Danio rerio: one gene and its partner. The protein of the gene in region 2 interacts with the protein of the main gene of each other region in a pairwise test. Links are inferred from orthologs where the notes say so. Each region holds a gene or a part of one and is shown on either strand. Other genes may lie near its edges.

Region 1 (3,662 bases), about 39 Mb from region 2:
CCTCGTCTCCTGTTTGCTCTGTATCTGACGGCACAGACACTGCAGTCCCATCACTGTTTATACTGCAACACAGAAGAGCATTGTGGCTGTAAGTCAATGTGATCAATGCTTTTGTAGGATGGAATCGGTGTGAAGTCTCTATTACTGACCTGTAATAGAGGAATTTGGAGAGGATGGCCTTCTCGTTCCAGTGCTCTTTACTTTTCTTCTTTCTCTGCCACTTTTGGTCTATAAGACGCTGGTAAAACTCCTTCAGCCACGTCCAGTCATTAGTCTAGAAAGCAGACGCAATAATATATTCATTTTAAATAATATTTAGGATGGTACTATGCACACTATTAACACTTTAAAAGGCATATATAAATGTTATACTACTATAAGGGTGCTTTCACACCTGTGAATCGATTCAGTTGTTCCGAAACAGAGATTACAATTGTTACATTGTTGCTATTTGCTCTTGGAGCGGTTCGCTTTCACACTGCAAAGTTTCTAAACGGACCAAAAGAGCTAAAACAAGTCACGTGCGAGTAAACTCTCCTTACATTGGTCAGAGTGTCACGGTTTATTTTGCAGCGTCACGCCTAGCTGTCAGGAGAGGTGGTGGTTTGGTGGTGATTGACAAGGTGCGTGCGCGCGACATGTCTGAGGAGAGACGCGGTGGGGAGGGGTGAGAAGGGTGCGCGACGATGCCTATTTGAGGGAGGGAGACGCAAGATTACCGGGAGATCATCACTCGTTTGCGGGCATCCGGAGACTCGCGAAACTTCCCGCCCTACTCATAACTCTCTCTTCATATAGCCGTAAGCCTATTACATATGCATAAAACACTGTGATATAACCGCGCTCGGATCGGATCGCTTTCTCACTGCAATCGAACCGCTCCAGGGTTCGTTTCAATCGAGCCGAGACCACCTCACTCAAGCGATCTTGGAGCGATTACTTTGGCGCGGAACAGAGCGCGATTGCCCTGTTCACATATGCCACTCGAACCGCGCTAACTAGGCAAACGAGACACGTTCCGAAACAAAAGTGTAAAACTCAGCAGTGTGCTTTAGGAATTGGTGGATTGTCCTTTAAAGGTAAAATGGAGATGCAGGGGCCTGAATGAAATCTAGGGCCAGATTTAGTGAACAATGCAAATTAGCATGAAAGCCTAAAAAGTCTAAAATAGAGCAGATCAGTGTGGAAATTTCTGGAGATGATTTACTGGCAACATGCAAATTAAAGAACAACGACGTAACATCTTATTTACATATCAACCAATGTAATAGAAAAAGCACAATGCAAATCAGAGCTTTGGAACATAAGAAGACCCTATGCTTATTATCTGAGGAAAAGAAATACTTCTATATAGCAACCACCATATTGTCCATACCTTTTTTTTTTTTTTTTTTTTTTGGAAAAATGTGCAGTTACAAAAAAAAGAAAGCATTATAAACTGACGCTGGGAATTTGGTAATATATGTCAAATTTAAGAAACCTGACATGGCTTAAAAACTCAGTTTTATATTTAAGAGAGCTTAAAGTCTGCATGAAATCAAAATGTAAAATATTTATTTTGCTAGTGCATGTTAGTCTTAAGGTGAACATTAATCTGTGCAAATCTGGAAAGAAAAAAAACTGTCTGTTTCTCAATTCCAAGAACGCAGAGAAAGGACTCAATTCATCTTTATTTCTTTAGTGCTTTTAAAATGTAGATTGTGTCAAAGCAGCTTAACATAGAAGTTCTAGTAAATTGACCCCGCATTATCGGGAAGGCCTTTCTGGCCAAGTTACCTCGGGAGAACGAACAAATGAACAGAGAACTCGTCCTTTTAGGAATGAGATGCTGCGTGCTTGCTGATGGTCACATGATCTTCGCGCGTTTAAACAGAAAATTATTTAAACATTACATACAACGATCCCTTTTGTGAAAAAAAAAAAAAAAAAAAAAAATATATATATATATATATATATATATATATATATATATATATATATATATATATACACATACACACACAAATATATATATATATATATATATATATATATATATATATATATATATATATATATGCACAAAAGCCTTACAAAAACTCTTTGCACAATACAATTATAACCAATTTTAATATAAATTTCAGCAAATAAACACTCTTAATGCGTTTATGCCTTTATAAATATTTTCTTATTAATATTTACTTTCACCTTCTCATGTAGGAAAACTCCTAAGATAAATAAGTTATATCATTGAACTTTAACAATAAACGGTTATAAAATGCTGCACTTCCCACCTCCGTTATATAGCCTTATTTATATATAATTACTTCTGGAGCTTTCAGAGTTTTGTACTGCGCTCAAGTCTGCATCAGTGCATCCTCAATATCAAGAATGCATCAGGGCTTTGTCAAGCGTCCTCTGTTCTTGTGGTCTAGAGTTTTGGAGCTGAACTTTGGTGGTTGATGACACAAGGACAGAAGATCGCTTAAGAACGCATAATGAGAAACAGCCTGTTTGTTTTGGTAATCTTTAATCCAAATCTGGCCATTTGCTTCCACTCTGAAACAACAGTCAATCTCTGACGGTGTCAGTTTGGTGGCTTCGATGAAATGTGCTTAGCCCCGCCCCTCCATTACTTTGCTGTGAGTGATTGGTAGAAAGCAAAAACCCCACCCCCCTACTCTATATTTTACTCTTTGGTTGGAATTAAGTCATCATAGCTAAAGTACTGTAATTAGGTAATGGCTCAATACAGATAAACGGAAGATTGCAAACGTTAGTAAATTTTATTGTGACTCCTTCAAATACAATTGCTTCTGAAAGGGTAACTGTAGCAACAAATGCACATTCAATAAGGTCAGACACAAAAACAACTGCTCATCATGCCTTTTCAGCACTAATTCCTCACTGTGCGTATTTAGTAAATCCTGAAAAAAATCTGTTTGTGCTGGTGCAAGCTGTTAATATGGCCCTTAGTCCAGCTATAGAAATAAGTCCCTTTTTCCAGTTACCTGTGATGACCTCATGAAGAGCTCCTGAATGTCCAGTTCGTCCAACAGTAAAGTGCTGCCAACTCTATGAACAGCCATGCTGACATGAGATTTACTGTACGGGATCTTCAGAAGCTTCTTGATGTTCTGATAAGTAAAATAATAATAATAAATTATTGTAAACTATATATATATATATATATATATATATATATATATACACACACACACAAAAATACTGTTATGTTATGAAATATTACTGCAATTTAAAATAAGTTGACATTTTGAATAGATTTTAACATTGTTTTTTTTCCTGTAATGTCAAAGCTTAATTTTCAGCATCATTATTCCAGTTTTCAGTGTCACATTCTAATATTCAGAAATTAAATATGCTGATTAATATATATATATATATATATATATATATATATATATATATATATATATATATATATATATATATATGTGTGTGTGTGTGTGTGTGTGTGTGTGTGTGTGTGTGTGTGTGTGTGTATATATATATATATATATATATATATATATATATATATATATATATATATATATATATATATATATATAATATTTTTTTTTTCTTACTAAAGCCAAAAACAGCTAATTATATTGTAAATAAATAATTTAATTAAGTATTTATTATATGACCTATCTAAAATCTCACACAACTGCTTTACA
Region 2 (3,662 bases):
AAGATTTTAAGATCTTACTGTAGTGTACTGTATCATGACATTGTTCTCATCTTCTGGCTTGAAGTCGGTTTTCTTCTGTTCAGTGGTCAGGATGTACTTCATTTGGCCAATCATGCAATTCAGTGTCCTGAAAGCAAAGAAACTTGAGTAAAATTCACTAAAATTTCATTCAGTGCCACCAATGAAGTCAAGGATTACTCTGAACCAACCGATCAATCCCAGTGTCCAGCTTGACTTCCATTTGTTCGATCACCTCTTTCTTCTTATGCAAGCACTCCGTCAACTTAGGAGAGGAGCTATAGGAGTCAAAGTTCAGACAAATGTCAAAAAGAAAGTCACAGGGAAAAAAATGATAGAAGCTAGTGAAACAAAGAGGGACAAACTGACCTAATAAGAGGCATAAGATGATCGTTAAACTGCTTATCGAAGAGGTGAAAGATTGTGTTGGCCTGCTGAACCACATCCAGAAAGTAGAGGTTGGCATTTTTGGCATCTGCAGATGGGATGGCTGTGCAAGTCAGAACACAAATCACACAGAATAATAAGTCCACTTTAAATATGTTCTTCTGATTTGTTGGTTAAGAAAAAAGAAAATAGGTCAGGTAAAGTAAACTGGTGAAGTACTATTGAAGTACTTTTAGCGAAAATTATTATGAGGCTGAAGAAGTTTGCAAATATGTATAAAATAAACAGGTTGTGGATACATTTGGAGGGTGACGTAGTGGCACAGTAGGTAGTGCTGTCGCCTCACAGCAAGAAGGTCGCTGGTTCGAGCTTCAGCTGGGTCAGTTGGCATTTCTGTGTGGAGTTTGCATGTTCTCCTCCGGGTGCTCCGGTTTCCCCCACAAGTCCAAAGACATGTGGTATAGATGAATTGGGTAAGCTGGGTTGTCTATAGTTTATGTGTGTGAGTGTTTCCCAGTAATGGGTTGCAGCTGGACAGGCATTCACTGTGTAAAACATATGCTGGATAAGTTGGTGGTTCATTCTGCTGTGGCGACCCCAGATTAATACAGAGACTAAGCCGAAAAGAAAATGAATGAATGAATACATTTGCAAGACACTCATGGATATGTTTGCATTTAGAAGAAGTAAAGTTCTTTTTAAAAATGCATTGCACACTGCCCGACGAAATGAATTCATATTTGGTGCAAGTCTTATTTGGTTGAACTTGTGGATACATCAAGTTTAAAATCAAGCTTGGTGGCATAAAAGGTTAATTAGGTTGGCGTATCCATTTCACTCCAATGGTTATAATTTGACATTTTTGATTGAAATTTTTATTAAAGCATCATTTTTACAATAACCCTTGGTTTTTAGCTTTGTTCATTATATTTGCGAGAATAGAATTACTTTAGTTTTTAGGATTTTAGACATTTTAATTGAGGTTGATATTAATGATCAAATGGATTACGATGCCAAATGTATTGTCTACTGTATACAGTATTTAATTAAGTTTCAGAGTTATGCCATGAAAATCACTAAAAGTCTTGACCCAAAAAAATAAAAATATATAAATAATAATAATAATAATAAAATACCAGATGTAATATGCGCAAAAAAACATTTTTTTTTCTACAGAAAGAAAACAAAAAATAAGGAAGTCAGACAACACAATACTTGTTAGTATGGAAGTATGGAGACATGACTGCATTGTAATTTAAAAGAAGCAGGACTGACTGCTATTTCAAGTACATGCGATTATGACCGTTTCCCTGGTCATTGTTTGTATGCATCACTTCAAACAAACTACACTTTCAAGCCACATCTTATCACAATCAAACCACTCCAGAGTTTGTTTTAAAGAGTATCGAGACCACCTCTTCTAGCAGGTCTCAGTACACTTGTTTGGTCTGCTTTTAGCGCACACTTGAATGCGATTGCTGCATTCCCGCCTGTATCCTTATCCTGAAATGTTCGTTAAAATGTATATTATGCTGAAATGTTTGGCTTAGTAAACAGGTACAGTCTGCTCACTGCATTTAATCTAAGTGGATATATGTTGATTAACATAAAATTAATAAAATGGAGCTGAAAAATAGCTTTAACAACCATAATCAACCATAACAATAGGTCTGAAATAACAAAAAAAAAAAACCACAATTATTAATAAATGTAAACTAAAATTTGACACAAAAATCCCATATTTCATGACTTAGACAAAAAATCCTGATTTTAAATCCCTGCAATAGATCTTTTAAAATTCCATGATAATCCAGAAAATCCATGGTTGTGTGAACCCTGCAATAAACATTATACTGTACCTGACAGCCCAATCTCAAGGGCGTAGTCTATATGGTCCACACACAGGTACTCCACCAAAATCAGGAAAATGGAGAAGGCATTCTTTGGCAGATCTGCTGGGTCTGACAACTGCAACAAAGACAGTCCAATGTTTAAGGCCCACAACTTCTAAATTCAGGTATCATAAGCAGTGATGAAAATTCCTATACCTTGTTGCATCTCTCAAAGGCATGCCTTGTTTCTTGCAAAAGGTTGACCACAACTTCTTGTGAGAGCAAAGTCTCTCCATGTGTGTCAATACTGGGTCCCAGAGGCAAGTTCGTGCGTTGTCTGATTCTCTCTTTTAGCTCCTGGATACTGTTGACATGAGAAGAGAAGATGGAAAATAAAGGTAAGAGAAATATAAGAAAAAAAGAAACCAAAGAAACCAACAATTCCTCACCTTCCAGTGCCTACAGGTCGTTTTTGGTGGTTCTTGGAATCATAATAGCGCTGAAGAATCATGCCGCTGCGGTTCTGCAGATATTGCCGCTCCATGTCTATATAGCTCTCCAGATAACAGGAGAAGATATTCTTTATCAGCTTAGATAGAAATGTGTGCTTGTCTGAGCCCAAGTTATAGTCTGTGAGTTTAGCAGCCAGTGCTGTCGTCCTAAAAAAAAAAAAAAACGGTTCAAAACGGGTTAAGCAAATAAATGACACATTAAAGCTTTCTAGGCAGAGGAAGCTGATGATAGCAGACTGAACAATTGCAGTAATTGTGAAATTAAAAAGAAATATACATTGATACCTTGTGTAGAGGTCATAGAGGTTCTTGAGGTATTGCTCCACATCAGAGTTGCGCGTCTCATCTAGTCTTTCTTTCACATGAGCCTGAAGTTATGAAATATGTTAATAGGGTTATTTAAATAACAGATAAATAACAGTTCAAGCATGGGTAATCTATTTCTTCATAATGGAATTTCAGCTGTCAGAAAGGCAGCCAGCCCTCAGCAGTAGTTGGTTTTTGCTCTGTGAGCGTTAACTAGAGCAGGGGTCACCAATCTTAGTCCTGGAGGGCCGGTGTCCCTGTAGGGTTTAGCTCCAACTTGCCTCAACTCACCTGCCTGGGTGTTTCAAGTATACCTAGTAGGACCTTGATTAGCTTGTTCAGGTGTGTTTGATTAGGGTTGGAGCGAAAAACTGCAGGACACCGGTCCTACAGGAACAAGTTTGGTGACCACTGAACTAGAGCATCTGAAAGCTGCGTCAATTAGTGGATTATTCATATATGCACGGTCCAGCTGATAAGACATTGCTTTTAAAGATTGCATCTGTGTCACTCAACAGAGAGCATGAATCAATGATCATTTTAGTCAATCACAGACATTTCTTTAGAGCGAGTGAACTCAACAGTCAACTCATCACTTGTTCTTTGA

What was found. The genes of interacting proteins can lie anywhere in the genome.
Region 1: the proteins of exoc5 (region 2) and edrf1 interact in binary tests that used the Homo sapiens proteins (3 or more experiments, as listed by UniProt). The two-hybrid records come from large-scale screens. The link is inferred for Danio rerio from reciprocal best matches to the Homo sapiens genes EXOC5 and EDRF1.

The regions. Positions count from the first base shown.
Region 1 is NC_133192.1:9,908,422-9,912,083, reverse strand, and holds part of edrf1 (erythroid differentiation-related factor 1), read right to left. Parts: intron 3,117-3,662; coding exon 2,991-3,116; intron 275-2,990; coding exon 150-274; intron 63-149; coding exon 1-62. UniProt on the Homo sapiens protein: Transcription factor involved in erythroid differentiation. Involved in transcriptional activation of the globin gene.
Region 2 is NC_133192.1:49,407,227-49,410,888, forward strand, and holds part of exoc5 (exocyst complex component 5), read right to left. Parts: intron 3,118-3,662; coding exon 3,035-3,117; intron 2,897-3,034; coding exon 2,687-2,896; intron 2,602-2,686; coding exon 2,454-2,601; intron 2,374-2,453; coding exon 2,265-2,373; intron 509-2,264; coding exon 388-508; intron 297-387; coding exon 210-296; intron 128-209; coding exon 19-127; intron 1-18. UniProt on the Homo sapiens protein: Component of the exocyst complex involved in the docking of exocytic vesicles with fusion sites on the plasma membrane.